4 linked regions of the Rattus norvegicus genome follow. The protein of the gene in region 1 purifies or fractionates together with the protein of each later gene. This does not show direct contact. Links are inferred from orthologs where the notes say so. Each region holds a gene or a part of one and is shown on either strand. Other genes may lie near its edges.

The links.
Region 2: the proteins of Magea10 (region 1) and Kat2a purify together in Homo sapiens (affinity purification with mass spectrometry; 3 studies listed by BioGRID and IntAct, counting the BioPlex papers as one, with this or other methods). This does not show direct contact. The link is inferred for Rattus norvegicus from reciprocal best matches to the Homo sapiens genes MAGEA10 and KAT2A.
Region 3: the proteins of Magea10 (region 1) and Foxj2 purify together in Homo sapiens (affinity purification with mass spectrometry; 3 studies listed by BioGRID and IntAct, counting the BioPlex papers as one, with this or other methods). This does not show direct contact. The link is inferred for Rattus norvegicus from reciprocal best matches to the Homo sapiens genes MAGEA10 and FOXJ2.
Region 4: the proteins of Magea10 (region 1) and Fam216a purify together in Homo sapiens (affinity purification with mass spectrometry; 3 studies listed by BioGRID and IntAct, counting the BioPlex papers as one, with this or other methods). This does not show direct contact. The link is inferred for Rattus norvegicus from reciprocal best matches to the Homo sapiens genes MAGEA10 and FAM216A.

Annotation. Positions count from the first base shown.
Region 1 is NC_086039.1:155,252,456-155,259,914, reverse strand, and holds the end of Magea10 (melanoma-associated antigen 10), read left to right. Parts: intron 1-2,318; 5' UTR 2,319-2,408; intron 2,409-3,317; 5' UTR 3,318-3,374; coding exon 3,375-4,343; 3' UTR 4,344-4,880; downstream 4,881-7,459. UniProt on the Homo sapiens protein: Not known, though may play a role in embryonal development and tumor transformation or aspects of tumor progression.
Region 2 is NC_086028.1:86,129,741-86,137,178, reverse strand, and holds the end of Kat2a (histone acetyltransferase KAT2A), read left to right. Parts: intron 1-13; coding exon of another isoform or gene 14-16; coding exon 17-153; intron 154-236; coding exon 237-445; intron 446-637; coding exon 638-764; intron 765-2,415; coding exon 2,416-2,526; intron 2,527-2,851; coding exon 2,852-2,995; intron 2,996-3,212; coding exon 3,213-3,327; intron 3,328-3,425; coding exon 3,426-3,462; intron 3,463-3,554; coding exon 3,555-3,618; intron 3,619-3,718; coding exon 3,719-3,803; intron 3,804-3,944; coding exon 3,945-4,138; 3' UTR 4,139-4,644; downstream 4,645-7,438. Other genes in the region: ATP-dependent RNA helicase DHX58, read left to right, coding at 5,336-5,503, 5,726-5,927, 6,167-6,357, 7,320-7,436. UniProt on the Homo sapiens protein: Protein lysine acyltransferase that can act as a acetyltransferase, glutaryltransferase, succinyltransferase or malonyltransferase, depending on the context.
Region 3 is NC_086022.1:157,738,219-157,746,430, reverse strand, and holds the end of Foxj2 (forkhead box protein J2), read right to left. Parts: coding exon 8,078-8,212; intron 7,673-8,077; coding exon 7,571-7,672; intron 6,661-7,570; coding exon 6,451-6,660; intron 5,952-6,450; coding exon 5,853-5,951; intron 3,514-5,852; coding exon 3,425-3,513; 3' UTR 981-3,424; downstream 1-980.
Region 4 is NC_086030.1:39,860,794-39,868,827, forward strand, and holds the end of Fam216a (protein FAM216A), read left to right. Parts: intron 1-1,241; coding exon 1,242-1,363; intron 1,364-4,601; coding exon 4,602-4,731; intron 4,732-4,804; coding exon 4,805-4,976; intron 4,977-5,929; coding exon 5,930-6,012; intron 6,013-7,307; coding exon 7,308-7,462; 3' UTR 7,463-7,657; downstream 7,658-8,034.

The sequences.
Region 1 (7,459 bases):
ATTTGGTTAGTATGGCATGAAGTGGGGCCACTTGGACGTCCCCGTAAGAATCCTGCTCTTGCCCGAGGTTAACGTCCGATTGGACTGCAGAGTGGCCTGGGGAAACGTCACTCCTTGTACAGGGAACCTCTAACTGTTAGTTGCACCCCTGTGGTGAACACTGTTTTAAATAGTGGGCCAGTGGTATTTTTGAGTCCTCTTCCCAGTCTGTTACTGTGCGCAGTATAGAACAATGATGTTTAGAGGTCTTTAACACAGATGACAAAGTCCTTTTCAGAGTATATTTGGGAGTTGTAAGTGGAATTGCAGAAGCTTCAGTTCATCTGAAGGGTACCCAAATAATAATTCATTTGGGATCCACTAGAAGTACTCCTCTCACAGAACTCGGCACCTAGGAGCCACTAAGGAGTTTCAAATAAAGAAGGAGCATCAATGTCTTTCAGTCACAGTGGGAACTAGCTAGGCAGGGAGTTGCAAAAGTCCCACCCCAGATCAAAAAGCTGTGATACTATGCCAAACCGTGTCCACTATATAGTCCTAAAAACCTGGGTGAAGTACAGAAATAAGTTTCCTCTCCTTTAGCATCCACAACCAGGTACCTGGAGTACTTGGTGTCATTTTAGTGAGTTCCTGGAGCTTTGAGCATGGTCCAGGTTCTGACTTACCCTACCACACTACTTTTCCAAATCCATATCAGTGGCTGTGGGGACATGGATCCTTTTAGTAAAGTTCCTAGAGAAGAGCAATGAAAAGACTTTGTGCTTTTTAAGCGAGTTGCTTGTATTATAGTGTTCACTTTCTGGTTACAGGCTTTCCGGACCCCTTTGATTAGCATTGGCATCAAGTAGGCACTGAGTATGGGGCACTTTCCACCCTTCTACTTCCTCATCTGGGGACTTGTGGATGTAAGGTTCCTGGAGGGGAGATACCCATTAAAATTGAAGAAGGTGTACTTTTGAGACATTTTCTGGACAGAGGATGCTCAATTAATGCAACCTGGCATCCAGTGGGGCCCACTTCCAGAAAATAGTCCCTTGCACTTCGGATCTTAGGTAGACCTTCACACTCCGTTCAGCTGTGAGAAAATGATGTAGTGCACCTTTGCTTCAACTTGTAGGGTATGAGGGAGGATCAGGCCTTGTTCTGAGGTGAAGGCCTCAGATCTGTAGAGGTAATGTACTCAGGCCCTGAAGGAGGAAAAAGGAAAGCCCTGATACTACATATGTAAAAGCTGCTTCTATTATATGTACAGACTAACCTGGAAAGACAATGGACTATGTCCAGGTGTAAGTTGGGGAGCAATGGTGGCCTGGATCTGAATGATAGAAGTGAGGGCCAGCAGATGCCTTGTGAGAACTAAATAGGAAATCCTTCAGAATCCCCAAGACAAGAGTGGACTCCTGATCCTTCTGCTAGTTTTGAGAAGCACTTCAGGGGTATTCAGATCTATCTTAACTTCTGTGTCTTTCAGGAAGTTGAGACTAAGTGAGTGGGATCACGAGAGAGAGATGGGGGGAGGGAAAGAGGGCCACGCCTGGTTACCAGAGAAGGTGTCTAGTAATCAAGGTGAGCAGACATGGTAAAAACTCAACATCTGAAAGTACCTATCATCCTCTACACAAGTTTTGCCCTTGTTCTAATGCCTAGGTGACCTTGAAGTGTGGTTGTTATGGCTGGGTTTCTTTTCTGCCTCAAGATTGGGGATAGGAGATCTGAGGGACTTGAACACCTTGGTAGTAAGATCTTCAGATGGCAAGTAAAGGGAAGAGTTTCAGGATGAGCCAGATCCCAGACATGGACCTCTTGTGATGATTGCATGTTTCTATAGCCCAGAAAGAAGGGACTATGGTGTCTAGCTGTGTCCTGAGACCAGCCCTTGGGGAAGCTAAATGACAAGTTTAATTAAACTAATTCAGGTGGGAAGGCAGGATATATTGGGGAAGAGGAGTAGTAGTATAACGAGAGCCTGTCAGGAAGGACAGGTCAGATGAAGACACTGCACTAAATGGACACAACAGAGATTAGTCTGAACCCTGTAGATATCTCCAGGGATCCCAATTCAGCATAGGAGCAATGGAGCAGCTGCTCAACCTCCTGATTATTTTCATGATCTCTTGATATTGAGGGACTTGATCTGAGTATGAGATCTTGGTTATTTGCAGGGGTTCTATGATCTATCATCAGAGTAGGTGTGAACCCCAAGGGATAGTTGAAAGTAACCCCAGTTCAGAGCACAGACAGGGCCCACAGAAGCTTATCTCCTGTGACTCCCATGTTCCAGGGCAGGATTGTCCGATCCCTTTTTTTTTTATTTCTAGGACATTGGTCTCAGAGATCTAAAGACCCTGATTAAAGGAACTGTGACTGAAGCCATCAGAGGGAGTCTCTCAAATCAGCCAGGACTCAAGGTAAGAATTGAGTGAGTCAAGTCACCTATACAGATGAGGTTCAATCCCTACCTACTCTCCCGCCAGCTTCAGGGACCCTATGAAATATGGAACTATTCCCTCCTCTCCTCCCTTCCTCTTTCTTCTGTCTCAGCAGAGTGGACCTTTGCTTAAGGTGTGTGGCCTAAGCTCATCAGAGGAACCAGAGCATCAAGCTGAAAGTTGGGCAGGCCCCTCATTCCCTACTTACAGAACACATTTAACTCAGGCACCTTTTGCAGTTGCCTTGAATAGATGCAAGATGAAGGCACCTTACTGTCTTTTCAGAGAGGAGGGCAGTTTGTTCAAGGGATTTGTCTCAGGCCAGCAGAAGGGTGGGGTCCAGGAGTTTGCTTCAGACCAGGAGATGGGGTGGAGTCCAGACCCTGATAGAAGAAGGGAAAACCCACAGTGGGCATAGAGGGAACTTGAGAGTCAGGTAACTCTTCACAATGCAGTTCAGGACCCTGTCTAGCATTAGGATTTAGTATTGACCTTATAGTCTATGGCTGTCGGGTACCTCATCCTCTCTCGCAGGAGCTATGTAAGGGTCTTGATCTGAGATTATTTCGTCAGGGGAAGCCCAGGTAGGGTCTAGAATAAATCTGAGGCACACACCTTGAATATGTCACATGTACCCGAAGCACAGTAGACCCCCTTTGCTTAGCTTCATACACACTTCTGGCAATCTTGAAGCCTCTACTCTGGCCCAGTTTCAGTCTGAGGAAACTTGTCACTACTCCCCTCAGTCTCTCAAGAGACAGACCTGACAGGGAAACAGGACTCCTTGTTGCTCTAGAGTTCACATAATAGAAATCCTGTTATCAGCATTTTGTGAGCATTTCCAGTGGAGTAACTGTCAATACTTCTACTGTCCTCTTCTTCCCCTAGGTCTCTGGGTCTATATCATCAAGCTCCTGCCTGGTGTTCAAGACTAGAGTCATCATCATGCCTAGACCTCGGAAGCGTAGGAGATGTATGGTTGAGGGACAGCCTGAGGGCCAAAATGAGACAGAGGGCCAAATGAGTGTTGCAGTTTCAACAGAAGAAGATTCCTCATCCTCTTCTACTTCTTCCTCTTCTTTCCCTTTTTCCTTCTCTTCTACCTCTTCTTCCTATTCTCAAACATCAGGCAACTCAGAGGAGGGCTGTGCTGCTTCTAGAGCTTTCTCTTCCTGCACTGCCATGGTTTCCTCTCCATGTAGCCAGGTCAGTGCAGATCCTGAGGGTGAGGAGAGTCCAGGCTCCTCACAGACCCTGCTATGTGGTGCTTCATTGTCTACAGGTGAGATAGATGTCAAAGTAGATGAGTTGGTGAAATATCTGCTCTTTAAGTATCTTATGAAAGAGCCAGTCAGCAAGGCAGAAATCCTAAGTAATATAATTAAAAATTATCAGGATCACTTTCCTGTTATATTTAGAGAAGCCTCAGAGTGCATGCAACTAGTCTTTGGCCTTGAATTAAAGGAAATAGATCCTGCTGGCCACACCTATATCCTTGCCATAGCCCTAGAGCTCACTTATGATGGCATGATGACTGATATTCAGGGCATACCCAAGACAGGCCTCCTGATCATGGTACTGAGCATAATATTCATGGAAGGCAACTGTATCCGTGAAGACATGGTATGGGGTGTATTGAATAACATAGGCTTGTATGCAGGAAGTGAACACTTTATATATGGAGAACCCAGGAAGCTCATCACTGATGATTTTGTCCAAGAAGGGTACTTGGAGTACAGGCAGGTGCCTGGAAGCCACCCTCCTTCCTATGAGTTCCTCTGGGGCCCAAGAGCCTATGCTGAAACCACCAAGATGAAAATATTGACCTTTTTGACCAGCATCAATGGGAGTGATCCCAGATCATACCCAGTGTGGTATGCAGAGGCTTTGAGAGATGAGGAAGAGAGGGAATAGGCTAAAAAACCTGGCCCCTGATACTACTGCTCTGAGCAGCACACATTATAGTGCACTTGCAGTTCCCAATTCAGATAGTTATGTAGTTCCGTGATCTAAGCAGCAGACCCTCAATCTAGAGCTGGTGGGAGGAGAGTGTGAGCCACCCCACTCTCACTGTTCTGTTTGGGTGACTCAGGGATGATTTTTCCTCTTAGTATTCTAAACTGTTGCTACATTTACTAGAAGGCTCATTAGGCTGAGTTTTAAGCTTCCAGTTTGTATTAGTCATGCACTTACTGCTGTTTATCCATGTTGAAAAAGCATTACTACTTTGTAAAACAAGTTGGGATGCTTTACATCAGATCTGCAATCTGTCACAAGACACCATGGTGTTGGGATTGGTATTTCCTGTGCTATGGGGAGGAACTGGATGAACAGAATAAAATTGTTAATAATAGAATAAAAATAATTGTTAATAGTTGCCTTATTATCTTTAGTTTCTTATTCTGATTAACTAATTAAATTCTAACCTAAGTAAATTAGTATAGTAAATGGGCTCCCATGCTCCAAACTTTCATTAAACATATGACCTGTATAAGGCTGCAAGTGTTAGCAGTGTGTCATAGGACAAACAGATCCGTGCTTTCACATAGATCGGGTGAGTATAGGAACTACAGCCCTGTGAGGAAGGTGGTGAAAAGTCCTTTCAGACCACAAGCACTAGTACAGGAAGAGGACTGCAGAGGGTTCTCCAGGAGTGAACACCACAAGGCAACTTGGGAGTTGGGGAGAGAAACTGCCAGGTAACTAATGTCATGTCCTTGGGAGCTGTGACTGTCTTCAGGTGAGAGGAGAAGAAACTGATCGCAGCATTCTCTTTTGGAGGTGGAAATTGCAGGGTGAATCAGACTGGGAGTGTCTAAGTGGTAGGACATTTGAGTAGCAAATGTAATTATTTCAAACCACAAATCCAAAATATGCAGAGAGAATCCCTGTACTGATACAGGGCTGGGAGTTATGTCTGAGTACACCATGTGACCTGCATGATTTACCCGGTCCCTCTGCACATGAGAAGGAATCATGGGAAAGCAAGGTCTAGAACTTCTGTCCAGGACCTCTTCAGTCCATCTAGTCAGGAAAGACTAGATGACTTTTTTTTTTAGTTTTTCCCCCCATCTTTATTAACTTGGGTGTTTCTTATTTACATTTCAAATGTTATTCCCTTTCCTGGTTTCCAGGCCAACATCCCCCTAACTCCTCCCCCACCCCTTTGAGATGACTTTTATTTTATTGTATTTTATTTATTTGCTATTTATTTATTTTTTCATCTTTATTAACTTGGGTATTTCTTATTTACATTTTGACTGTTATTCCTTTTCCCGGTTTCCGGGCAAACATCCCCCTAATCCCACCCCTTCTTTATGGGTGTTCCCCTCTCCATCCTCCCCCCATTGCCGCCCTCCCCCCAACAATCTAGTTCACTGGGGGTTCAGTCTTAGCAGGACCAAGGGCCTCCCCTTCCACTGGCGCTCTTACTAGGATATTCATTGCTACCTATGAGGTTGGAGCCCAGGGTCAGTCCATGTATAGTCTTTAGGTAGTGGCTTAGTCCCTGGAAGCTCTGGTTGGTTGGCATTGTTGTACATATGGGGTCTCGAGCCCCTTCAAGCTCTTCCAGTTCTTTCTCTGATTCCTTCAATGGGGGTCCTGTTCTCAGTTCAGTGGTTTGCTGCTGGCATTCGCCTCTGTATTTGCTGTATTCTGGCTGTGTCTCTCAGGAGCGATCTACATTCGGTTCCTGTCAGCCTGCCCTTCTTTGCTTCACCCATCTTGTCTAGTTGGATGGCTGTATATGTATGGGCCACATGTGGGGCAGGTTCTGAATGGACGTTTCTTCTGCCTCTGTTCTAAACTTTGCTTCCCTATTCCCTCCCAAGGGTATTCTTGTTCCCCTTTTAAAGAAGGAGTGAAGCATTCACATTTTGTTCATCTGTCTTGAGTTTCATGTTTTCTGTGCATCTAGGGTAATTCGAGCATTTGGGCTAATATCCACTTATCAGTGAGTGCAAACCATGTGTGTTTTTCTGTGATTGGGTTACCTCACTCAATATGATATTTTCTAGTTCCATCCATTTGCCTATGAATGACATTTTAATTCAATTGTCTCCAGTGCAATTTGGCCAATGGTTAGGAAGCTTTGGGTTTGCCAAGTTGGTTAAATGATTGAACATAGCAATTTAGGTGGAAAAGAAGCTAGGAGTGAGGGAAGCTTCTTTATGATTGAGATTAATCCATGCCAGTGTTTTCACATGAAAGATGATTCAGTTAATTTTATTCATGGAATTTCACTGTGGCTGGTTAGCTACTTCCGGTCTTGGTGACCTGCACAGTCTCTATGTTCTGCAGTCTCTATGAAGACTGGGAAGGGCAACCATAACCAGAATATTTTTGAAAACTTCTGTTTTCAATTAAAATAAAATTTAAAAGTATTAGTAACATAAGGGAACTAACATCCATCTGTCTGTCATACTGGGACTTTTGTTTTAAATGAGAATTTAAAAGTTAATTTTTTAATTTACTTCATGTAATACACAGTATCTCTAAGTATATATGGACCCTAAGTTTGATACATTGATACACTTTAACAGAATATAATCCCAAAAATCACTGGTCAGTTTTCCATAAAAGTTCACTGAACATGAACTACACAAGACATTTGGAAAGGCACCAGAAATACATCAGTTAAGAACATAAGTACCAGCACTACCCTTACAGAGCTTCAATGTCCCCTAGATATAATTAGTTCAATAGCAGTGAACAGTGAGGATAGAAAGCGGTGGCATTTGAAAGATGAACAGTTAACTGAGGGGAAGTCTTTACACAATGTTAAACCATTTGACGCTTAAGAATAGGGCTTCTTGGCTCTATTTAATATGTATTAGGTGATATAAAGGATTTTGTGCCCAAGGCACTCAGATGAAAAAAAAATGCAAGTATACATATTTGGGGTTGTCTGTGGACATTATCAATATGTTGTCCTCTGTTTTTTTCTCTTGATTTCTTTTTTTTTAAATATAAGCTTTGGTGGTTAGGTTTAATTTTTTTATTAACTTGAGTATTTCTTATTTACATTT
Region 2 (7,438 bases), on another chromosome or scaffold:
TCATCCCCCCCAGCAGGAGAGAAGAGGAAGCTTCCTGAGAACCTGACTCTGGAGGATGCTAAGCGGCTCCGAGTGATGGGCGACATTCCCATGGAGCTGGTCAACGAGGTCATGCTGACCATCACCGACCCTGCTGCCATGCTGGGGCCCGAGGTAGGCATCCCAACCTGCTGACCTGTGGGGAAAGGAATCCCCAACCTCCTGAGGCCCTTGCTCACCACCCCTCTTCTGCCTAGACGAGCCTGCTTTCAGCCAACGCAGCTCGAGATGAAACAGCTCGCCTGGAAGAGCGTCGAGGGATCATCGAATTCCACGTCATTGGCAACTCTCTGACGCCCAAGGCCAACCGGCGTGTGCTGCTGTGGCTTGTGGGGCTGCAGAACGTCTTCTCCCACCAGCTGCCACGAATGCCCAAGGAATATATTGCCCGCCTCGTCTTTGACCCGTGAGTCCCTGGGCACCCCAGCCCCAGAGCACCTTGACTTCCCCATCCCTCTCCACTGGACACTCTCCTAATTGTAAGGCTCCACCTTTCCTCTGTTCTTATCCCCGATGACACTTCACCCTTTCGTGGCTGAGGGACCTGGGGAGCAAGGAGAGGACAGGTGAGTCCCGTGACATGTCCCCTCTCTCTTAGGAAGCATAAGACCCTGGCCTTGATCAAGGATGGGCGGGTCATCGGTGGGATTTGCTTCCGCATGTTTCCCACCCAGGGCTTCACGGAAATCGTCTTCTGTGCTGTCACCTCAAATGAGCAGGTCAAGGTGAGCACAGTGCCCCTGACCATGACCCCGTTCTACCACCTGCCTCCGAATATGGAGCAAGCCAGCCGAAATGGCAGGATATCTGTGCCCCAGCCCTTGCTGTATCAAGCAGACTTTCCACATACTCCCTCAGGGTGGCAGCTTCACCTTGATAACTGATCATTGAGAAAACACTGGGCAGTGGTGATGCAGGCCTTTAATCCCAGCACTGGAGAGGCAGAGACAGGAGGGTCTCTCTGAGTTCGAAGCTAACCTGGTCTACAGTGTGAGTTCCAGGACAGCCGGAAACACAGAGAAAGCCTCTCTAGCAACAGCAAAACAGTGGATGTCATTCTGAGGGCCGGGGAGATGGTTCTCTGGTAAAGCGTAAATGCGAAGGCCTTCGCTTGATCCTCATCACCCACATTAAATAAAATGATAAATAATAATAAAATACAGATATGATAAAAATCAGCAGGGTAGGGTAGTACATACTTTTGATCCCAGCACTCGGGAGGAAGAGGCAGAGGCAAGGCCTTCCTGGTCTACAGTTTGAGTTACAGGACAGCCAGGGTGTGCAGAGGAACCCTGTTTTGAAAACACAAACAAAAAGTACCCAAATCAGCAATGATTTTTTTTTCTTTTCTGATGCAGGATGGAATGCAGGGCCCTGTGTACACCAGGCAAATATTCTACCACTAAGTTCTGCTCCCAACGATCTTTTGTTTTTTTTTTTTTATAATAAATAAATAAATCTTTAAAAAAAAAAAAAGAATTTATTATATATGAGTACACCGTAGCTATCTTCAGACACATCAGAAAAGGGCATCAGATCCCATTACAGATGGTTGTGAGCCACCCTGTGGTTGCTGGGAATTGAACTCAGGACCTCTGGAAGAGCAATCAGTGCTCTTAACCGCTGAGCCATCTCTCCAGCCCCAGTAATCAGCATTTTTATGTTAACCTTAGGGACTTTTTGTTTCAGAGAAGGGCCCATATAGCCAAGTCCAGCCTTAAGCACACTGTGTAGTCCAGGGGTACCTTAGACTTGTGATCCACTTCTCCCTGCCTCCAGATTACTGGGATCACAGGTGTGTACCCCCACACCAGGTCTTATCCATTGCCAGGGATCGAACTCAGGTCTTTGCGCACTCTGAGTAAGTGTTCTGCTAACTGAGCTCTACCCCACGGCAGCAACACTTTCCAAGTGAACCTTTGTTTCTTGGCAGGAAGGTTTGCATGCCTTGGGGAGTTGATAGTCCCAGCTTCTGTCTCTTTTGGCAACAAATTACTTTTGGGCTTTTCGTTCTCCCGAGTTGTGTGCATTGTCTGTATGGTCCTGACATGAGCGGGCCTCTGTGACCCCTTTCTGTTCTTCCCCTTTATTCTGAAACCCCAGCCGTGTTGGGTTGGAGCCCAGCTCTGCTGCGTCCGTGGTCCACTGACCTCAGACTGTTCTTCATACACAACCTGACTTATCAGGGTCTTTTTGGTGTTTTTCCTGCGAAATGGGGCTTTTGACCTAGTCATGGGCTAACTGGCAAATGGGTCTTTGAAGAATCAACCTGGAATCTGGCCCTGAGAGAGGAGCATCTAGAAACCCTTTACTTTCTCTCCGCAAACTCTGATCCTCTGCTGGCCACCTGACCTCCCTGCTCCGTCTCCCCCACAGGGCTATGGCACCCACCTGATGAATCACCTGAAGGAGTACCACATCAAACACAGCATCCTGTACTTCCTCACCTACGCCGACGAGTACGCCATCGGCTACTTCAAGAAGCAGGTGAGCCTCGGAATCACTGCACCGCCACCTCGGGCACCGTCTGTGTGCACAGTGCCCCGTAGAGCTCCTTTTGGTTGCCCACTGCACCCGGCACCGGTGAGGAAGCCCCGCCCCCCCTTCCTGTTTGCTCCCAGTGAAGAACAAGGCCAGGGATTGGAAGGTCCTTTGGGGATTGGAGGAGGTGAGGAACAGCCGTCCTGGAGCCTTTGCAGAGGCACACGGAGTTCAGAGATGTAAGAGGAGGCATGCTCTACACCAGAGAAGAGACTGTGAAAGCTGGAGAAACCTGGCTGATGGATTGGGTCTTAACTCTCCACCCATCTAGGGCTTCTCCAAGGACATCAAGGTGCCCAAGAGCCGATATCTGGGCTACATCAAGGACTATGAGGGAGCGACCCTGATGGAGTGTGAGCTGAACCCCCGCATCCCCTACACAGAGCTGTCCCACATCATCAAGAAGCAGAAGGAGGTACACATGTCTGCGCAGGGTTGTGCGGGTCTGCACTGGGGAGCTAACGCACTGAGACTTGTCGTACGTGTGTGTTTATGTGTGGTAGAGACACACCAGGTCGTAAGTTCCTGCCCTGCCTCTTAGAAAAAGCCAAAAGTAAATGCTGCCATTTACTGACCATGGTCTTGGGGGTGGTTGGGCCTGAGCTGGCTCCCTCAGACCCTTGCTTCCTCAGATCATCAAGAAGTTGATTGAGCGCAAACAGGCACAGATCCGAAAGGTTTACCCTGGACTCAGCTGCTTCAAAGAAGGAGTGAGGCAGATCCCTGTGGAGAGCGTCCCTGGCATTCGTGAGCAGGGGCCTTGGCTGAAAGGGCAGGAGGGCATTCTCCGGGCATGGGCAGGCATTCTGAGAGATGTTTCCCCACCCCCCCCACCCCCTTTGCAGGAGAGACAGGCTGGAAGCCACTGGGAAAGGAGAAGGGGTAAGTGTTCAGTCAAGGGGAATGAACATGGAATGGGGGGTAGGATGGGGCAGAAGAACCCAGACCTCAGACTTGATATCTCTCATTTCTAGCAAGGAGCTGAAGGACCCTGACCAGCTGTATACGACCCTCAAAAACCTGCTGGCTCAGATCAAGGTGGGAGGCCAAGGTCCTCTTGTCGGTAACAGAAGTGGGTGGCAGTCTGCGGTTGGGCAGTGAACACTGGGCCTGTCCTCAGCTCATCTGTTCTCTCTAGTCACACCCCAGTGCCTGGCCCTTCATGGAACCTGTGAAGAAGTCGGAGGCCCCTGACTACTACGAGGTTATCCGCTTCCCCATTGGTGAGGACCCTTGTACTCTCATCCCTAACACGTGCCCCAATCTATTACTGTCTGTGCGGAGTCAGGTACCCAGCATGGTGGGCATCCTCAGTTTTCTCCTTTCACCTCTTAAAGTCATGTGCCTTCTCCCTTGTGACCCAGACCTGAAGACCATGACAGAACGGTTGCGCAGCCGCTACTATGTGACCCGGAAGCTCTTTGTAGCCGACCTGCAGCGGGTCATCGCCAACTGCCGGGAGTACAATCCCCCAGACAGCGAATATTGTCGCTGCGCCAGTGCCCTGGAGAAGTTCTTCTACTTCAAGCTCAAAGAAGGAGGGCTCATTGACAAGTAGTGCCCAACTGGGGTCTGCACTGTCCACCTCTGTCTCATCAGATCCGTTTGGGTGCTCCCGGACCCCCTCTCCCTGACTCAGCGGGAGAAACTCCAGCCAGGGGCCCCAAATCTTGCAGACTTTGGCCAGCAGGCACTTACTCCCAAGCCTGCAGCTCTCTTCCCACCTTCATTGCATCCGACATTAGGGAGGTGTCTGGTCTGGGGCCAGCCCCTTGTAGAATGTCTGGTGGCCAGGGAATGAACTGCTAGTCCTTACCGAGCTATGCAGGCTGAGCGTCCTGAGCCTGGTCCAGGTGCCTGTTTCCCGGGACCAGGACTATTCAGTGAGGAGCCTCGACGTGGGAACAGCTCAGACTGGAGGAACTATGAGGGGCCTCGGCTCGTCCTACACTGTTGTCCACCTGTCCCCCGGGGTTGGGGGCAGGAGGACCATTCATTCCTTGGCATTAATCCCTTGGAGGGAACAATAAAGCTTTTTTTTTTTCCCCCTGTGTGATTATTTGGGGGGGGGGGGTGTCCAGCTCCAGACTTAACAGATTGACCCTCGTTCCTCTAGTCCTTCCCTTTCTTACCTGGAAGCCTAACTTCAAGCTACAGTGGTGCCACTGACCCCTGCTATATATGGTGGGGTGATGGGCCTGTCTGACCGCCATCCCTCACCTCTTCTGCTCCAGTAGCTTCCAGCCTGTCTCACCTGCAAAGGGAGAGCAAGAGCTTGCCCTTAATGCCTGTCTCTTCCCTGACTCCTGGACCAGGAAGCAGGCAGCCAAGGCCCGCACCTCCAGGCCTTAAGCTCAGCCCGGGGGTGGGGGTTACTGCCCCCTGAAAACATGAGGAGCTAGAGAGCCCAGGAGCAGTGAAGGCCTACCTATTCTGCCAGTATCTCCCTTTCCAGTCTAACTTTTATTTCTTTTGGTGGCTGGGCTGGGTTCCAGCTCCGTCTGGCTCCTCCCCTTGTTTCAGTTTCATTTCTCTTCATTGACTGAACTGTCAGCCTGGGGCTTTTCAGAGCTTCAGAAACCTCAGCAGAGACCAGGCTAGTCTGCTATTCATTTCCAAACCCCATCCTAATCCTGGCCAGGGTAAGTTCCAGGTAGGTATCTATGAGTTCTTGGCTAAGAACAGCCTCTGCAGCTGATTGGGCTGTCCGGCAGGAAGGGGAGGGTACGTGTTCTGAACCCTCTGCCATTCCAGAATGGAGCTGCGACCCTACCAGTGGGAAGTGATCTTACCTGCTCTGGAGGGCAAGAACATCATTATATGGCTTCCCACGGGTGCTGGGAAGACCCGGGCAGCTGCCTTTGTGGCCAAGAGGCATCTAGAGACAGTAGACCGAGGCAAGGTGGTGGTACTGGTTAATAGGGTGAGTGATCTACCCTTCCCGGAGTGGGGTCTCTCGGCTCATCTCTTCTAGACTAGACTACTGCTCTGCCAGGTCTTCTCATCTTGGTTCAGGAGATGGTTGGGTCCTGAATCATGTCCTGCCACGTTGTTCCTCCCAGCTTCCCCGACCCCAACTCCCAACAACTGCCATTTCCCACCCCCGACCTCAATCCAGGTTCTCTCCATTATTCTTCACTCCCAGGTACACCTGGTGAACCAGCATGCCGAGGAGTTCAGGCGCATGTTGGATAAACAATGGACCGTGACAACCCTGAGTGGGGACATGGGATCACGAGCTGGTTTTGGCCTATTGGCTCGGAGCCATGACCTGCTCATCTGTACGGCAGAGTTACTGCATCTGGCGCTGAAGAGCTCTGAGGAGGATGAACACGTAGAGCTCACAGGTGAGGAAAAAGGCATAACCTGCTTAGAGGACGTGCTCCTGGGCAGAGAAGCCCTCCCCCTCCCTCCAGCTGAGCCTCAGTTTCCTAATCTGTAAATTGAAAGATAAGTCATTCCTGCCCGCTCCTTGCCAAGTAAGGAAGGGAAGAGGAAGTCCTCAGACAAGAATGGGGACTTCACAGAATTGCTGGGAGGAAGAAGTGCCAGGCGCAGCTTACAACTGTCTCTCATGTGCCCCCAGAATTCTCGCTGATTGTGGTGGACGAGTGTCACCATACCCACAAGGACACCATCTACAACACCATCTTGAGCCGGTACCTAGAGCATAAACTGAAGAAGGCAAAGCCCCTTCCCCAGGTCCTGGGTCTCACAGCCTCCCCAGGCACTGGAGGAGCCACCAAGCTCCAAGGGGCCATTGACCACATCCTACAGGTCAGCTGAGCCCCTGAGCCCCTCCTACCATAGATCCTTGCTTGTCCTGCCTCCCAGTCCTACCACACATACCCTTCATACACTGGTTTCTTCAACTGTCCTGGACATATGAGGCTTGTGGGACCCTTTGAACTTACTATTCCTTTTTCCCCCGGAATGCCTTTTCTTTTGAACCTCCATCAGATTCCTTCCCACCATTCAGCAAACAGTCCTGTCATTGTCGCAGTCTCCCCTGGCCATCCCCACTACTCTGTCATAGGGCTAGTTTTAATTATTTAATTATTTTCGGAGTTTGTCACAAACTGGAAGCTGTTTGAACTGGGAGCTATGAAAATGGGAACTGCTTTTCTTTCTTTAAAGATTTATTGTGTGGGGCTGGAGAGATGGCTCAGCGGTTAAGAGTACCCGACTGCTCTTCCAGAGGTCCTGAGTTCAATTCCCAGCAACCACATGATGGCTCACAACCATCTGTAAAGAGATCCGATGCCCTCTTCTGGTGTGTCTGAAGACAGCTACAGTGTACTCATATATAATAAATGAATAAATAAATCTTTAAAAAAAAAAAAAGATTTATTGTGTGTACAGCGTTCTGCCTTGCGTGTATGCCTACAGGCCAGAAGAGGGCACCAGATCTCAGTATACACGGTCATGAACCACCATGTAGTTGCTGAGACTTGAACTCAGGACCTCTGGAAAGAGCAGCCCGTGCTCTGAACCTCTGAGTCATCTCTCCAGCCCTCTTTGCTGATTTTCAGTCGTCTCTAAATGGACGTTTGAACCTAAGCTCCTCTCTCTCATCAATTCAGGAGTATTAGTGACTCACAGGACACACTTCAGACTCCTTGAGACGAATCCCAATTTGCAGTGGCCCTGCCTCAGGCTTTCCTGTCCTTAACCAGGACCCCACCTCCCTCGGATCCTGTCTGACTCCTCTTTCCCTGATGCGTTTCTGTTGCCTCCAGCTCTGTGCGAATTTGGATACGTGGCGCATCATGTCACCGAAGAATTGCTACTCCCAGCTGCTGGAGCATAACCCAAAGCCCTGCAAGCAGTATGACCTCTGCCAAAGGCGCACGCAGGT
Region 3 (8,212 bases), on another chromosome or scaffold:
AAGCACTGACTCTTCTTCCAGAGGTCCTGAGTTCAATTCCCAGCAACCACATGGTGGCTCACAACCGTCTGTAATGGGATCCGATGCCCTCTTCTGGTGTGTCTGAAGACAGCAACACTGTACTCATACATAAAGTAAATCCTTAAAAAAAGAATATAAAATAAAGATATTTTAAAAAAATGAAAACCAAAAATTATGAGATCTGTTTTGTGTTGGCCAACTACTCCTCGGCATGGGGACTGCACTGGAGTGTGGTTTATATGCCCAGTGACACTCCATTGAAGAAAAGTCATTTTTTTCCCCTTTTACTAATTACATCTTGGTTAGGGGTGGGACTTTGTGTCCACTCTTTAAACTAACATGCAAATAAGGTGGGCCTGTTCTACCCACTAACCTTCCAATTCTTCCAATGCTACTACATTCCATAGCATTTTAAACACAAAATACTAAATATATATATATATATATATATATATATATATTTCTCTTTTTCCATCACTTAGAAGCTAAGTAAACCCAGTTGTAGGGATGAATGCTTGGCTATAGGGAGTGGCACTATTAGGAGGTGTGGCCTTGTTAGAGGATCTGTGTCACAGTAGAGGCAGGGCTTTGAGGTCCTAAATGCTCAAGCCATGTCCTGTGTGAAACACGCACGGTCTTCTCCTTGCTACATGAGGGTCAAGATGTAGAACTCTGAGTTCCTCCTCCAGCACCATGTCTGCCCGAATGTTGCCATGCTCCCTGACATGACTATAATGGACAGAACCTCTGAACCTGTAAGCCAGCTCCAATTCAATGTTTTCCTTTATAAGAGTTGCTGTGGTCATGGTGTCTGCACAGCAGTAAACCCTAACCATGATGGGTTGATAGAGTACTAACAAGAACACCCTGTTTCACATTTCTCCTCTCCCAACCTGGCAAAAAGTAGTGAGAAGCGCCAAATGAGATAAAAACTAGAAACGTTCTTTTCTTTTTTTATTAAGAAAGCATGCAAAAAAACAAAAACAAAACAAAAATAAAAACAAAACAAAAAAAAAAAAAAACCAAACAAGTTGTGAGCCCATACACCCCCCCTTCCCAGCCTGCACCAATGCAAAGCATTATGGGTGGTGTAAAGAACTCACCAAACCAGAAACATGGGGTTGAGGAGAGGAAGCCTAGGATAGGTGAATCAACACAAATGACTTCTCCTTTGTCCTGCTCCTCTGCTGTCTCCCCTGTTTCCTCTTACAGGCAGTGACCCCTACAACTGTGCACACATCACCCAAGACAACAGCAATGACTATACTTCATGTCCAGCAACATCGGACCAACAAAATAAGTGTAGTTCTCTTTCCATGTCACAGAGGGCATGGGAAACTGAGGCCCAAGGGGGACCAGGTTTGAACTGCCCCATTCTGCAAGCCTGACCCAGGAGAGGCTAGAGCCTCAGGGGGCCCTAAAGCCACCCTCCAGTCTCCAGCCCAAGGCAGCTGCTCAGGCTGCCCACCAGGGAGACTGGCTCTCAAGACATGGAGAAGCCAGGGGCATCTGGAAGTATGACTCAGCCTATGCCCCCCAACCTGGGACAGATCTGACCAGGAAAGGTGCTTAGGAAAAGAGGTGGTACTGTGCAAGGGCAAGACCTTGAGGAAACCAAAGGGAAGCCGTGTAGAATACACCTGAATGGAAGGAACAGCAAGAGATGTCTAGTAGGACACCAGGCAGGGTGTGTGTGGGGAAACACCCCTCTCCCGGGAGGGAAACATTGCGTCTGTCATGCATCGGCCCTACCAGATGCTCTCCAGTACACTGCACACTGTGCTGGAGCGCACTCTTTTTCCTTATACTCCCTTTTATTTTCCTTACAAAGAAATAAAGTGCTCTTCAGTGAACTGCCCCCATCTTGCCCCCTTTACTTCACTGGACTCCACCAGTCTCATACATAAGCCCCCTTCTAAAGAAAGGAAAGGGGTTGATGAGGGGAAGTGAGAATGGGAAGCTCAGTGTCTCGGAAATCGTGGATAAATAAGAGAATATGAACAAAAATCACAGAGGTTGGCCCTGTGGAAGATACAACACATTTTGTCTGTTCCAGAAGGTTTAGTGAAAATACGATGGAAGTGAGACTGGACTTCTCTCTCGCAAGACAGCCACACACGTGCTAAGAACTCTGCAGCCGTAAGTCATGGCTGCTCATTTTAGTGGAGACTCCTCACTCCGAGCCTACGGGTGCGCCTTGCCCTCGCTGAGCCCTGACTCTGTATTAGTCATTTCCGTCTTACAGTTTTCATTGCCTGTCAAAATCAAAAGCTTCCACCCCACCAACAGGAACTTCAAGAGAAGCATCTCCCTGCGCAGTGACAGGTCCCCACCCAGGTCTACGCCAGCTCCCTAACTTCCCCACCCTCCCAGCAGCAGGACCACAGGTCTGCCAAGGCGGGAGGGAAAGAGGTTTCCACAGCATGTCTACGACATGAGGGGACTAGGAGTGAGAATGGCTTCCTTTTGTCTTTTTGAGAATCCCAGAAAATGGGAGAACAAAAGATAAGACAGGTGGATGATTTGGACAAACAGCTTTAGGAAGACAAAATAGTATTTGCTGAAGAAGAAGAGATGATGGAAGGTCATTGATATATGCAGAATAGTCAGTTAACTCTCAGAAAGAATTCCTTTTCCAAAGCCAAAATGCCTTAAATTGAAATTGTTTCCGAGAAGCTAAACTATGATGGACAGTGGTCTTTGTGCCTGAGCAGACAAGCAAACCTCCTAGAGCAACGGCTGGGAGAAGCCAGGGGTGCTTTGGCATGGCAGTGCACACCCAACCTCACGCTGGGTTATACCGACTCCACCGAGCCCAGCTCTCCAAGTCCAGCCGTCATGGCATGAGGACTGCCGAACATAGTAAAGATTGGGTGTTTAATAGGCGAGCTCAGAGGACACAATTAGCACCATTGAGTAAAGCTGCAACATTATGGTTGCCAAGCAGTGTCTTAGACTCCCCTCTACTGACTGAGGCCTCTGCAGGCCAGCCTGAAACAGGCAGGACCAGAACACAATTCAGAGCTGGAAGGTGGGATCAGCACTGAGCTTCTCGGACAGAAAGGTGAACTAGAATGTAAAGCCTTCCTTGACAGCTATCATGGCCTCATCTTGAGGCCTGAAGATTTCAAATGGGCAAAGCCCAGGGTAGGAGGGCAGGAGACTGGGCAGCAGATAACCAATAACAATATAATTAGAATAATAATAAAAGAACTAAAAGGGAACGAAGAATGAGGAGGGAAAGAGGATTATCCTCGGCAGCATCTTGCAGTGGCTTCTCTGACAGAGAGAACAGAAGGAAGCTATATATCTATATACAGGTTTGGGGAGGATGGACAGGACTGTTCTTCCCCCGTGGCTAGAATTCACCACCAGGTCTTAGGCTGATGTCCACTGTGATTTGTTAAGTGATCAAGTCCCAGTCGAAGTCATCAGTGATCTCCTCATTGGCACCAGGAGGTGGGACAGGTGGCCGGGGAACCATGTGGTGTGCTGTCAAGAAGAAAGACAGATCATGAAAGAAGCTGAAGGAGAAGCAAGTTCCATCAGTCTGGATGGGGAGTGAGTGCTCTACCCCAATGACACCATGAAGAAAGCTGGAGATAACACTGGTACAGTCAGCCTACAGTCCAATCAGTCAGCCTACAGTCCAGTCAGTCAGTCTTCAGTTAGCCTACAGTCAGTCAACCTAGAGTCAGTCAGCCTACAGTCAGTCAGTCAGCTTACAGTCAGTCAGTCTACAGTCCAGTCAGACTATAGTCAGTCAGCCTACAGTCAGTCAGTCAGCCTACAGTCAGTCAGCCTACAGTCAGTCAGTCAGCCTACAGTCAGTCAGTCAGCCTACAGTCAGTCAGTCAGCCTACAGTCGGTCAGTCAGCTTACAGTCGGTCAGTCTACAGTCCAGTCAGTCAGCCTATAGTCAGTCAGCCTACAGTCAGTCAGTCAGCTTACAGTCAGTCAGTCTACAGTCCAGTCAGTCAGCCTATAGTCAGTCAGCCTATAGTCAGCCAGTCAGCCTACAGTCAGTCAGTCAGCTTACAGTCAGTCAGTCAGCCTATAGTCCAATTAGCCTACAGTTCTTTTTTTAACTTTAAAGAATTTTTTATTTTATGTGCATGAGCGTTTTTAATGCTTCTCTCATACATTTTATCCTGACTATAGTTATTCTCTCTCCTAATCCCTCCCTCCAACTCCCCTCTCCCCCAGATCAACTCCTCCTATTTCCTTTCAAAAAAAAAAAAAGAAGGAAAGAAAAGAAAGAAAGAAAGGAGAAAAGAAGAGAAGGAAATAAAAGAAAGAAGAAAAGAAAAGAACAGTCCTCCCAGGATATTCATCAAACAAGATACAATAAGACTGGGCTCAAACCTTCATATTAAGGCTGGACATAGAAACCTGGTATGAGGAAAAGTATCCCAAGTACAGGCAAAGGAGTCAGAGATACCACCCCCCCGCTGTTGGAACACCAAGCTACATAAGTATATGCAGAGGACCTAGCTCAGACCCTCTACCCCCTGGCTCCTATGACCCTTCCTCTCCATCTTCACAGGGTTCCCCTGGATCCACATGCCCAGCGTCTGGCAATGGGTCTCTGCTGGATGACACCCCTCTGATGACAGCTGGGTTCCTTCTGTTGCAGACTAACAACTCAGTGACACCCCAGGAAACACACTGGAGCAAGTGGTGATCTGGCACTATCCTGCCATAAACTCTGCATCTGTGAAGGGTACCTCACAGTGATAAAACACCTTAATTAGGTGATAGCATATGAAAGAGCAGTGCAGAAAGTCACATCTGCTGCTCCCGGACAAAGAAACAGACATCACCTTCAAAACTGAAAATACTTGTGACCAGAGAAGATGGCGACGGTGAACCGCCTTTTCAACATGAGGAGTCTGTTCCTCTGCACTGTCTGCAGTGGTTCAGTGCCTCCCTGCACTCAGCATCCCGACCCATCAAAGACGGTTCAAGCCCACGCTGAGGAAGCAACCCAGTGGCACCACGCTTGCCTAGCATGCGAGAGACCCTAAGTTCAGCCCAACAGATGACAATACAGAAACAAAACAATGACAACACAAAACAAACCAAAACCGACGTGTTGGCCCCAGACATCTGACGCTAGTGATCAGGTGACAGGAAACCAGACATGGGTAAAAGCCATTTAGGTGAAGTGTTCACTTCACTTGCCCATCTTCCCTCTTGGTTCCAAAGCTAAATATCCCTCACAGCTGCCCTTCACTTACATTCATAATTTTACTTCCTTTCGATATTGTAGTTGCAGGATTTTTTTTTTAATTTTTTTTTAAAAAATCACTTTGTTGAACGTGTGTGTTTTGCCTGCATGTACATCTGTGCATAACATTCATGAGTGCCAGCAAAGGCCAGAAGAGGGCGCCAGATCCCCTGGAACTAGAGTTACAGACCACTGCAAGCCAGGTAAACCATGTGGGTGCTGGGAATGAAACCCAGGTCCTCTGGAAAAACAGCTGGTGCTCCTGACCACTGAGACATGTCTTCAGCCCCATAAGGTAAATTTAAAGACAAGCTAGCAGGGGGGAGCTCAGAGGTAAAGCCCTTGTATAGTGTGTGTGAGGTCCTGGCTCCATTCCCAGTACCACCAAACAAAGAGAATTTAATTAAGTAAAAGTGCCTTTCTTAGTCGCACCTATGCACACCTCCCTAGAGGGTAGCTCATCTCATCCTGCAGTCTTGGAGACCATGACGCCTCACCCATTCTAGCAGGTACAGACAGAAGGGCAGAGAGATGTCAGAGGAAAACAAAACAACACTGAGAGGTGAGTGTGCTTGTCTGTGAAACACTCCCCAGGGCTTACTTGGGCGACTGTATCCTGCTGAGTCTTGGGTGGAGATTGGGTACATTGGTGCTGGGCCAGGGTAGAGATGAGAGGCTTGCGGGTGCCCATAAGAGTTCACTACCAAAGCAAAACAAGAGTCACTTTAATGGGGGATTACTGTTGTCAACATGACAGGAAGGGAAAACATGTCTCTGTCTCTCTTCTTGTCTTGCTTTATAGATTCTACATGCAGGAAGCATTCTGCAGAAGCCACCGGCCTCAGCTCTTAGGGTGGGAAAGGCTGGATCAAAGGTGAGAGAAAAACCAGACACTTGATCAAGTCTCCATTTTCACTGACTCGAGTGGGATACAGGTGATGGTTATTATGGGGACAATTTAGAATAAGGACTTTCTTTAACAAGTCCCCTTTCCTTTCAAAAAGTAATTCTTATCTTCCAAATTGAGGTGTAAAAGGAACTTAGTCTACGGCTTCTGCAAAAATCCTTTATTCAGTCAACAAGCTGGTCCCGGGACTCAGCCGGATCACTGCCTAGAAAACTGATTGGCATTTCTCTTTCCCTTCCCTTCACCCTTCACTTAGTTCAGTCTCCGCTTCTCTGTCAACTTTGCATCTTACCTTGGTTCATAGATGGCTCCGGTTTGCCACTGGTGAGAGCACAGGAGTCAGTGATCCGGGAAGGGGCAGGTGGTCGGTGGGAGCCCCCTTGCGGGGGCATGTGACCAGTCTGGGTGAGGAAGTGGTTGAGGGAGTCACACAAGTTGGCGATGTGATGCTGATCGAGGGTCCAGTTCCTCTGCTCTGCCTGCCGTAGGCTCTCCATCAGCTCTAGAAACAAGAACGCCAGCCATGGTAACCCCGAGTGAGGCGCTGCCAAAGCCCGCACCACACCCGTCCCTGGTGCACGGTCTCCTCACATCTTGTACCACTAATGTCACGTACTAACGATAATGATTTATACCTTTCTCTTTTTTGCTTCTATAAGCATTTATTGAAATGAGATATGGTAACAAGAATCATTAAACGTGCCAGTTTTTAATTAGAATTTTCTTCTGTACGACTGCTTACATTAACCTTATGCTGCACGACACTTTTAGAATAAAAAACACAGACTAGAAGCAAGTCTACGTTTTGCACTCTAGCTAAGGATGCTTCTTGCAAAACTTGAGACTACTTTCTTTTTTGCTTAACGGGAGTCCTAACGGGAGTCCTCTGGGTAGTCACCCAGAGGCCACAAGTTACTTCTACTATTATTTGTTCCTTGCCAAATTCTTATTTTAATTTGTATCTCCTTGATGAATAAAAATGTTCAAAGTGACTTAATGAACTCACTATCATCTCTCTGCCAAGAAGCAAAACTGCAAAATGGTGGCCCAGAGTCTCTGAATTCCCAGGGGCCTTTCCTCTTCCCCAGAAGACAACTAGCATAAAACATTGCAATATTTGAATAATAGCAAAATTTCCAGTCAAACCTAAAAATATCGATAATATGTCTATCTTGTATAATATGCAAATGAAACTCTGTCCCAAACGCTCTTGGCCAAGCACATGGGTTCTAGCACAACACCCCTCTTCCCTCTCCCGGAAGCGGTCCCCCCTTCCCTCTCTCAGAAGCGGTTCCCCCCCTTCCCTCTCCCAGAAGCGGTCCCCCCTTCCCTCTCCCGGAAGTGGCCCCCCTTCCCTCTCCCGGAAGCGGTCCCCCCTTCCCTCTCTCAGAAGCGGTCCCGTAAGCGCCAACCTGAGAACTGGGATTGCTCGATGCTGGACCAGTTGAGCCGGTTCACCATTTTGAAGCTTTCCTTTAAGGAGTCAATATTGGAGCACCAGTCTGGAGGAAAGGCTGTGAAGAGAGCATGAGGTGGTGAGACAGAGAGAGAAGTCTACGCATGCAAGGTTCTCACGGCGACCCAGCTTAACAGCTGCATCAGCACCAGAGCTGTGCGCACTCCCTCCCTGGAGATGCAGGAACGGAAACGTGCCCTGTCCATTAGGCACCACGGGCAGAGATGTAAAGCCATCCTAGTTCATCTGCGAATATGGACCGGGAACAAGGAAATCCCCAACCTCAATCCTCCAGAGTACAGGGCTTTCGGTAGTGACTTCCATGGGCTGAGATGAGGTAGAAAGGCAAGAGATTGACCCTCAGAGACCAACTGTTAGCTTTTTCACCCATGGTACCTCCATGCCGGTCAGGAAACAGTTCGATCCTGCTCCTCCCAGCTTTCTCTGTACCCTTCTTACTCACCAAAGCCGGTGCTGTTGATGGGTGCCTGGCTCTGTGCCTGCTGCTGTGGTGGCTGCTGGGCAGGGTGGGAGTGGGGATGGTGCTGATGAGGGTGGTAGCCTCCATGCTGCAGTGGGGGAGGGTGCATGGCCATCC
Region 4 (8,034 bases), on another chromosome or scaffold:
CAGGTTACCTGTAACTGTACACAATGGAGGGTTTGTTGTTGTTGTTTTGTTTTAAAGATTTATTTACTTATTTATCATGAGCACACTGTAGCTGTCTCCAGACACACCAGAAGAGGGCATCAGATCTCATTACAGATGGATGTGAGCCACTATGTGGTTGGTTGGAATTTGAACTCAGGACCTCTGGAAGAGCAGTCAGTGTTCTTAACTGCTGAGCCGTCTCTCCAGCCCCACAATGGAGTTTTAACAATAGGCTCAAAGGGCTGTCAAGATGGTGGGAGCAGCTGCTAAGGGCACTTGCAGTCAAGCTGGACTACCTGAGTTTACTTCCCCCAGAACCCACAGGGAGGGGAGAACTTTTTTTTTTTTTTTTTTGAGTTGTACTCTTAAAAAGAGTTTCAAAGATGAGAGATGAAAGCTCTTTACCTTTTGTTACTGTATAACACTTTTTTTTTTTTTTGGATCTTTTTTTCGGAGCTGGGGACCGAACCCAGGGCCTTGTGCTTCCTAGGTAAGCGCTCTACCACAGAGCTAAATCCCCAGCCCCTGTATAACATTTTTTTAAAAATACCAGTGACAGGGGTTGGGGATTTAGCTCAGTGGTAAAGTGCTTGAGGCCCTGGGTTTGGTCCTCAGCTCAGGGGAAAAAAAAACAAAAACCAATGACTTGTAAAATATGTTGAGAATTAGCAATGGTTGGAATGCACAGGGCAGACCTGTTTTTTACATGTGGATGAAAGGGAAGAATCCTGCATGAGCAGCTTCAAAAACCATAAACTATTTCATAGGGAGCTCTTTCAAAATAGCTCTTTTTCTGATGAAGTTAAGAGAAAAAAAAAAAGTCCCTAAAGGCCTTTTGCAAGTTAAGGGATAAGGGGGGTTAGAGTGCGCTGGCCTTGGAGACATGGGTGTGTGTACAGGGGATGTTCGAGGACAACTCTGTAGAGTCATTCTCTCCTTCTGTTTGACAGTCCAGGGACTGATCTCAGACAGCTAGACATGCTGGGCAAATCCTTTACCGTCGTCAGGCCTGTACCTCATGTTACTTGCACTGAACTGGGGTGATGCCGAGCATCTTTTTATGTGAGACACGTGGATTCCAGATGTTTGTGTGTTTTAAAAATAAAGGGCATATTATATATTGTCTCAATATTTAACTCTGCTTCACAGTAATCGTTGGTAGTCATAAATATTATTAATAATCTTTGCCTCAGGAAGTCATACGATGTCTTTGCCCACAGAGAGAATCAAGGAGGGACACAGAATGTCCTCACACACTGCCAAACTGCAGGAGTTATGGAGAACTACTCAAATCCAAACAATTCACATCCCTAAATCAATGACAGATGCGTCTTTTCTAAAGGTAAGACAGATTTCTAAGTGTTAACTATGGTATGTGTGGAGGTCAGAGGAAAACTCATGAGAACCAGTTCTCTCCTTCCACCCTGTGCGTGCAGAGGTCAGACTCAGGCTGCCAGGCTTGGCAGCAAGCGCTTTTGCTTGCAGAGCCCTGTTACCAGCCCTGAGATGTTTCTGGGGGACGCCCAGGGCCTCGCACATCCTAACAAGCTCAGCTCCCGAGCTATAGGGCCAGAACTTGGGTCTGAAGATAAACTGCTCAGGTAGAATCTAAGGTGCTGCAGACCACATGGTACACACCTAACAGACCGTCAGTGAGTCCGTGAAGGGAGCTTCCTGCAGAGATGTGGTGATCTAACACTGGGGAGCCTGTCTGCTTCCTTTTTTCTTCTAGCTCTTTCCTTTGGATGCTGGCCAAAGCTAAGCATGCTTCCGCTGCCACTCTAGTTCCTCACTGCATCTCTGACCTCCATACCTAGCTTGAAAGGCATGACTTTTTCTCCACTTCTCTCCTCCTGGCAGCTGCGGGCATTTTCAGTTTGCCTGGCTTATTATATTTCCCCTCAAAATTAAAAAAAAAAATTGTCCTCAGTCTTCAAAAACCAAACAAAAAAGAGTAGGACTAGGCCTTACCCCAGCACCGGAAAAACAGAAACAAGCGGATCTCTCTAAGTCTAAGGTCAGCCTGGTCTACATAGGAAGTTTGAAGCCAGCCAGGACTACATAGTAAAATCCTGTTTCAAAAAACAAATAAAAAACCCAAAACTAAAACCCACCCACACCCAAAACAGAATCATTCATTAAATATGTTGGATAAATTCATGAGTGACTTCAAGGATTATAAGTTAAGAGTCACAAAGGTTCTTTCCAGGAACTTCAGAGCTAATACATTTCTATTAGGAAGATCAAGTGCCATTCACCAAGACACTCCAGCGATAAAGCCCAAATTCAGAGCCTTCACTCAAGGACTACAAAATTAGAAGCAAGCAGTAGAGAAAATGGCATCGAGGGTTTTACAGCTATGGACATGTGTTCTCCCTGGGTCACAGTGGAGAGCTAAGCATGGTGGCATGGACCCGTAGCTCCTGCTACTGGGGAGGCTGAGGCAGAAGGGTGACTCGAGTCCAGAAATTGAGACAAGCCACAGTAACACAGTGACACCTTGTTCAAACAAACAGACCAAAAGTCTAAGGAGTAGTAGCTCGGCTCATGGCTGTTGGGAAGTACAAGCAAGAAGATGGGGAGTTGAGGCCAGCCTAGGCATTAGGAGACTCTGTCTCAAATAAACAAGAAAACTTCCCATAGCTGGTTAGAGTCTCATTTCTAAAGTATTGTAGTTAGTAAAGAGTTCTTTAGACTAGTAGTTTCTTCTGCCAAAATTCCTACTTTAGGTGAACGACTTATTCAGTAATGTACATTTTATGCCTACATATACATGAGTCTTGCATCTTAAGGAAGGAAATATTTTTTTTAAAAAAAGGACGTACATTCAGTCACAATTTGATTAAAGAAACCTAGTATGGGGACACACACTTATATTCCCAGTGTTCAGATGGAGGCAGGAGGACCAGAAGTTCAAGGTATATAGCAAATTCAAGGCCAGCCTGGGATATATAAGAGCCTGCTTCAGGGGAAAAAAATTAGGGGCTGAAGAGATGGCTTAGTGGTTAGAGCACTGAGTGCTCTTCTAGAGGCCCTGAGTTCAATTCCCAGCAACCACATGGTGGCTCACAGCTGCCTTGAACTCCAGCTCCAGGGGTTGGTTGGACACCCCGTGCATCATCTGTACTTGTGTGCATACCCACAGATAGACACACAAGTTTTTAAATTGTAGGTTGGAAACTGACAGTATGTTTCACAGAAACTAGCAGGTATTTTTCTGCTCTGGAAAAGGTGTTTCTTTAGTTGAGACAGTAAACTAAGGTGCTTTCAGGTACCACCATCTTATACCTTAAACATCAGAGTGACAGGCAGTGGCAGGGCAGATGGCTCAGCTGGGGAAGCTGTTGGACACCAAGCCTGAACCTGCATTGGATCCCTGAGATCACACAGTGGAAGAAGACAACCAAAAGCTGCAAGTTAGACACACACAGACACACGCACACACACTCACACACACACACATACACATGCACACACACTCACACACGCTCACACACACATGCTCACACACATACACACACACATGCACACGCTCACACACACATGCACACACACATGCACACAAACACACACGCTCATACACACACATGCTCACACGCTCACACACACACATGCTTACACACACACATGCTCATACACACATACACATGCTCACACACTCACACACACACAGCTCACACATACATGCACACAAAGTAAATCAAGCAAGATGTCCAACTTGAGAAGGTAGATGGGAGCTAAAGCTTGTGGACAGAGAGCTGAGCCCCTCTTTGGTTCTCAAAGCTCAAAAGATAACATGAATTATTGTAGGTGGCAGCTACAGCCATTTGCATGTTTTAATAAACCATCATTTCCTTTTCCTCTGGGCAAGTCGAGATAACTGAATTTGCTTGTGAGAACCATAAAGATGAGGTGGGACAGCCCTCAACACCCATCCTTTTAGTAAGAAGACTACTGCCTTGTGTTGTACAGTGTCGTGGGTCTCCGCAACCACCAAGGGCAGCATTATGTCACTCTGTGAAAGATAAGGCCATTCAGCTCACCACAACTCAGTAGCTGGTGTTGGCTCAACTCGAGTCTTACCTCCAGTAGCTTATTTCAGGCATCTGTAAACACAGCCCAATTTGGGAAAAGGTTTCCTGGTGATAAAGAATTCTACCCATGTACACAGCAAAGTTTAAGACATAGCCACATGGGGTTGGGGATTTGGCTCAGTGGTAGAGCACTTGCCTAGCAAGCGCAAGGCCCTGGGTTTGGTCCCCAGCTCCGAAGGGAAAAAAAAAAAAAAAAAAGGAAAGACATGGCCACATGAAGACTCTTGGTAAAGTAGACAATAGGTACTGTAGATTACCTGAGGAGAGAGGCTCACAGGTCTTTCTTTGACAAGGGTGTGGAGGAGCAACACAGGTAACCCAGTGATCTCTAGGCTATTAAACGCAGGTTAAATATCCACATCTCTCCCTTAGAAGAGAGGACCCTGTATATTTGACATTCCCAGCTCTCCCAGTGTCTCTCTGTGAACATAGGACCTACATGCCTCCTACACTCTAGCAGTCAAGAGCCCCCATTCTGTCTTTCAGCATCCAGAACTCACCTCAGGCCAGAAGCGCTACCTGTGCAGCATTGCTAAGATCTGCAACTCCAGCTATCTGAGGACCTTAATGAAGAGGCAGTACATGCATCTGTTTCATCACGGGTTACAGAAGCCAGGCAGGTGTCCCCCACTTGGTTTCTTGTCAGTTTAGAAGTGAGAGCATCTTCTAAGAGGTGATTTGTGTTCCAGGTGTCCTCACTCATCATAGAAGCCATATCAGCTCTCGATACTCACAGAAACAGCATTCCCCCTGCACTACATGGAGACACCATCTGGAGAGAGAAGACTCTCTGGGCATTGCAGCAGAAGCACCTGAAATGATCATACATGCCCTTTGGAGACCCCTGAGACACAAAGAAGGGTCTGTCTGGTTCTTGAGTTTAAGAAGGAAAAACCACCCAGTTCTGTGTACAGAATCTGGGGAGCCTCCTGAGATTAAAACTCCCATTTCCTACAATCACTCCCCTAAACTCAGATGAGGGAGGCCACTTCCTCTTCCTTGAAGTGAGTGGGATATGACATTAAGGGCGTCTGAGTTTCGGTGACAGGATGTATAGCCCAGGTATACCTCAAATGCAGGGTAATCTCTTGCCTCAGCTTCCCACATGCTAGCAGTATAGGCGTGCCACCACACCAGGTGTTCCACTTTCCCACACAGCATAATCTGGACGTATAAGCATTTCTCAATCAGGACAAGAAGGTTCAGCAAGTAAAAGTATTTGCTATGCACGCTCAACAACCTGTGTTTGATCCCTAGAACCCAGGGTAGAATCTGGTAGAGCAGATTCCCCAAAACTATCCTCTAACCTCCATACATGAATCACATGAACCATAGCAACCACCCATATTTAAACACAGAATAAATAATAATAAAAAGAATTCTGGATCACCAAGAGCTAGACTGCACTTCCCACTCAAATTCCAAACAATAGATTCCTCCAGAAACATGTAGTGCTCCTGCAGAGGGGAGTACTATACAGCCAGGAGGAAGAACAGCAGCTCTCAGCAGGTGTGGTGGCATAAGCCTGTAGGCTCAGTACTTGGGGGGATCAGAAGGTTACTTAGTCAGTTTGAGACATGCTTGGATTACATGAGATTGTGGTTCAGAAAATAACCCACAGCTTACAGCACAAATGTGTCAGTCTCCAAACTGATGGCAGTGCTGCACTTCAGGGTTAGCGGATCACAGGATAATCTGGGGAATGGGGGTCTTTGGTAATCCCAGCAGCTAGTAAAAAGAACCTTATTTTATGTTTGAGACTGACAGCACTGTTCACTTTACTGTCTCCAATTAAAATATTTCCCTTTTCACAGGTTAAAAATTGGATATGCATCTAAAACAAGATGCAAGTCCCTGAAGATTTTTAGAAGACCAGGCAGACTGTTCTTGCTACCAGGTAACACACCACACACACACACACACACACACACACACACACACACACACACACACACACACACACACACACACACACACACACAGTTAAGGATTTTTGTTTTTGAAACAAGGTCTCAGAACCAATCCTCCTGTCCCTACTTCTGAGCACTAAGATTATAGGTGGGCAGGGTTACCATGTCTGCCTTGCACTTTTGAACACTTTGCTTAAAAAACACTAAATACAGGTTGGGGATTTAGCTCAGTGGTAGAGCGCTTGCCTAGGAAGCACAAGGCCCTGGGTTCGGTTCCCAGCTCCGGGGGAAAACAAAACAAAACACTAAATACAGTCATTCTAATTAAGCCTTGATTAAATATTTTAAGTGTGATGAGTTCTGACCATGGTGGCACATGACATAGGTCCCAGGGCAGAAGCAGTGAATCTGAGCTCCAAAGCAGCCTGGTCTACACAGCAAATTCAAGTCCAGTCAGAGCTGCTCAAGAATACCCTATGTCAAACCCAAAACTAAACATGAAGCAACTTATGCCTCCATTCAGAATTCACTACTCAAGAGAGTGAGATTCAGTCTTTTTCTCCTGTGCTAGGCGTGTGCTCTGCACACAGACTTTCACCCCAAGTCCTTCAGGGTCTGTTGTTGTTGCTGTTGGTTTTGTTTTAGGCAGGGTCTCTCTCTCTCTCTAGCACAGAGTGACTGATAACCAAGTGCTAGGACTATAGACTTTGCCAGTATACCCAGTATCACATGTATTTTGTAGGTGCTGGCTAAGAGTGTGCAGTCCTATCCCAAGAGTCCAGTCCAAAAAGGCCAAGGATAGATACCCTGGCAGAGGACACATTGCCAAGGTCCTCAAACCATGAAAGAAAAACTAAAGGATATGGAGACACTGAAAACATAACTGAGTGCCACGAGTTCTAATTCTCTCACTGAAAGGCTTTGAAAATCAGTGGGAATAGTGTATACTATACTATGCGTAGCACACTTAGGGTGCTGTGACTACCGTAAAAGAGACTGGAGGAAGTGAAAGGTAACTAAGTTGAAAACAGTAGGGGACTTGTTTTTGCAAAAGCTTCGTAAGCCGGGCCACTTGAAGTGGTGTTTAGAAGTTCACTCCCAGGCTTGTGTGTTGGTGCACACCTTTAAGGCAGGCGGCCCTCTTGTGCAGTCTGTGGGCACCAGGCACACACACAGTACATAGACAAACATGCAGGCAAAATACCGATACACATAAAATGACAGTAATAAAACTGGAGAACTTTATTTCAGAACACATTATAAACGCTTATCTTCCCTTTAGTTTCTTCTAAGGATTATCAGCCATGCATGAACGATGAGACAAAGGAAGAGGATCTACTGAATGAGTGCATGCAGTCCATGTCCATTCAGGAACAAGGCTCATCTCATGCCAGCCTGACAGTCTCGTGTCCCACACCAAGTTCAGCCATCCCCTAATACCCACATGTTGAGCCTGAGGGGACAGTGAAGAGTTGGAACCATGTATGGGATAGTGCTAGTAGCTGCTGGTATGTTATTTTAGTTATTGAGAAATTTATAATAGCCTTCTTCGTCTAATATATTTCCGTGTTATATCTGTAATGTATGCTTGTTTCTAGCTAGAACAATTAAAATTTTACTTGCCAAATAAAACTGAATTTTAAGTTATGTTTATTTTCTGTGCATTGGTGTTTTGCCTGCATGCCTGTCTGTGTGAAGGTGTTGGAACTCATGAAGCTGGAGTTCTAGACAGTGTAGGCTGCCCTGTGGTTGCTGGGAATTGAACCCCAGTCCTGGAAGAGCAGCCAGTGCTCTTAAACTGCCACTGAGCCATCTCTCCAGCCCCCTGAATTTTTTCAATCTGACAAATGTTATTTTTTTCTTTTAGTTTATAAATTTGTAGTTTTTTTTTTTTTTTTTCGGAGCTGGGGACCGAACCCAGGGCCTTGCGCTTCCTAGGTAAGCGCTCTACCACTGAGCTAAATCCCCAGCCCCATAAATTTGTAGTTTATAAGTTTATAAATGTGTGT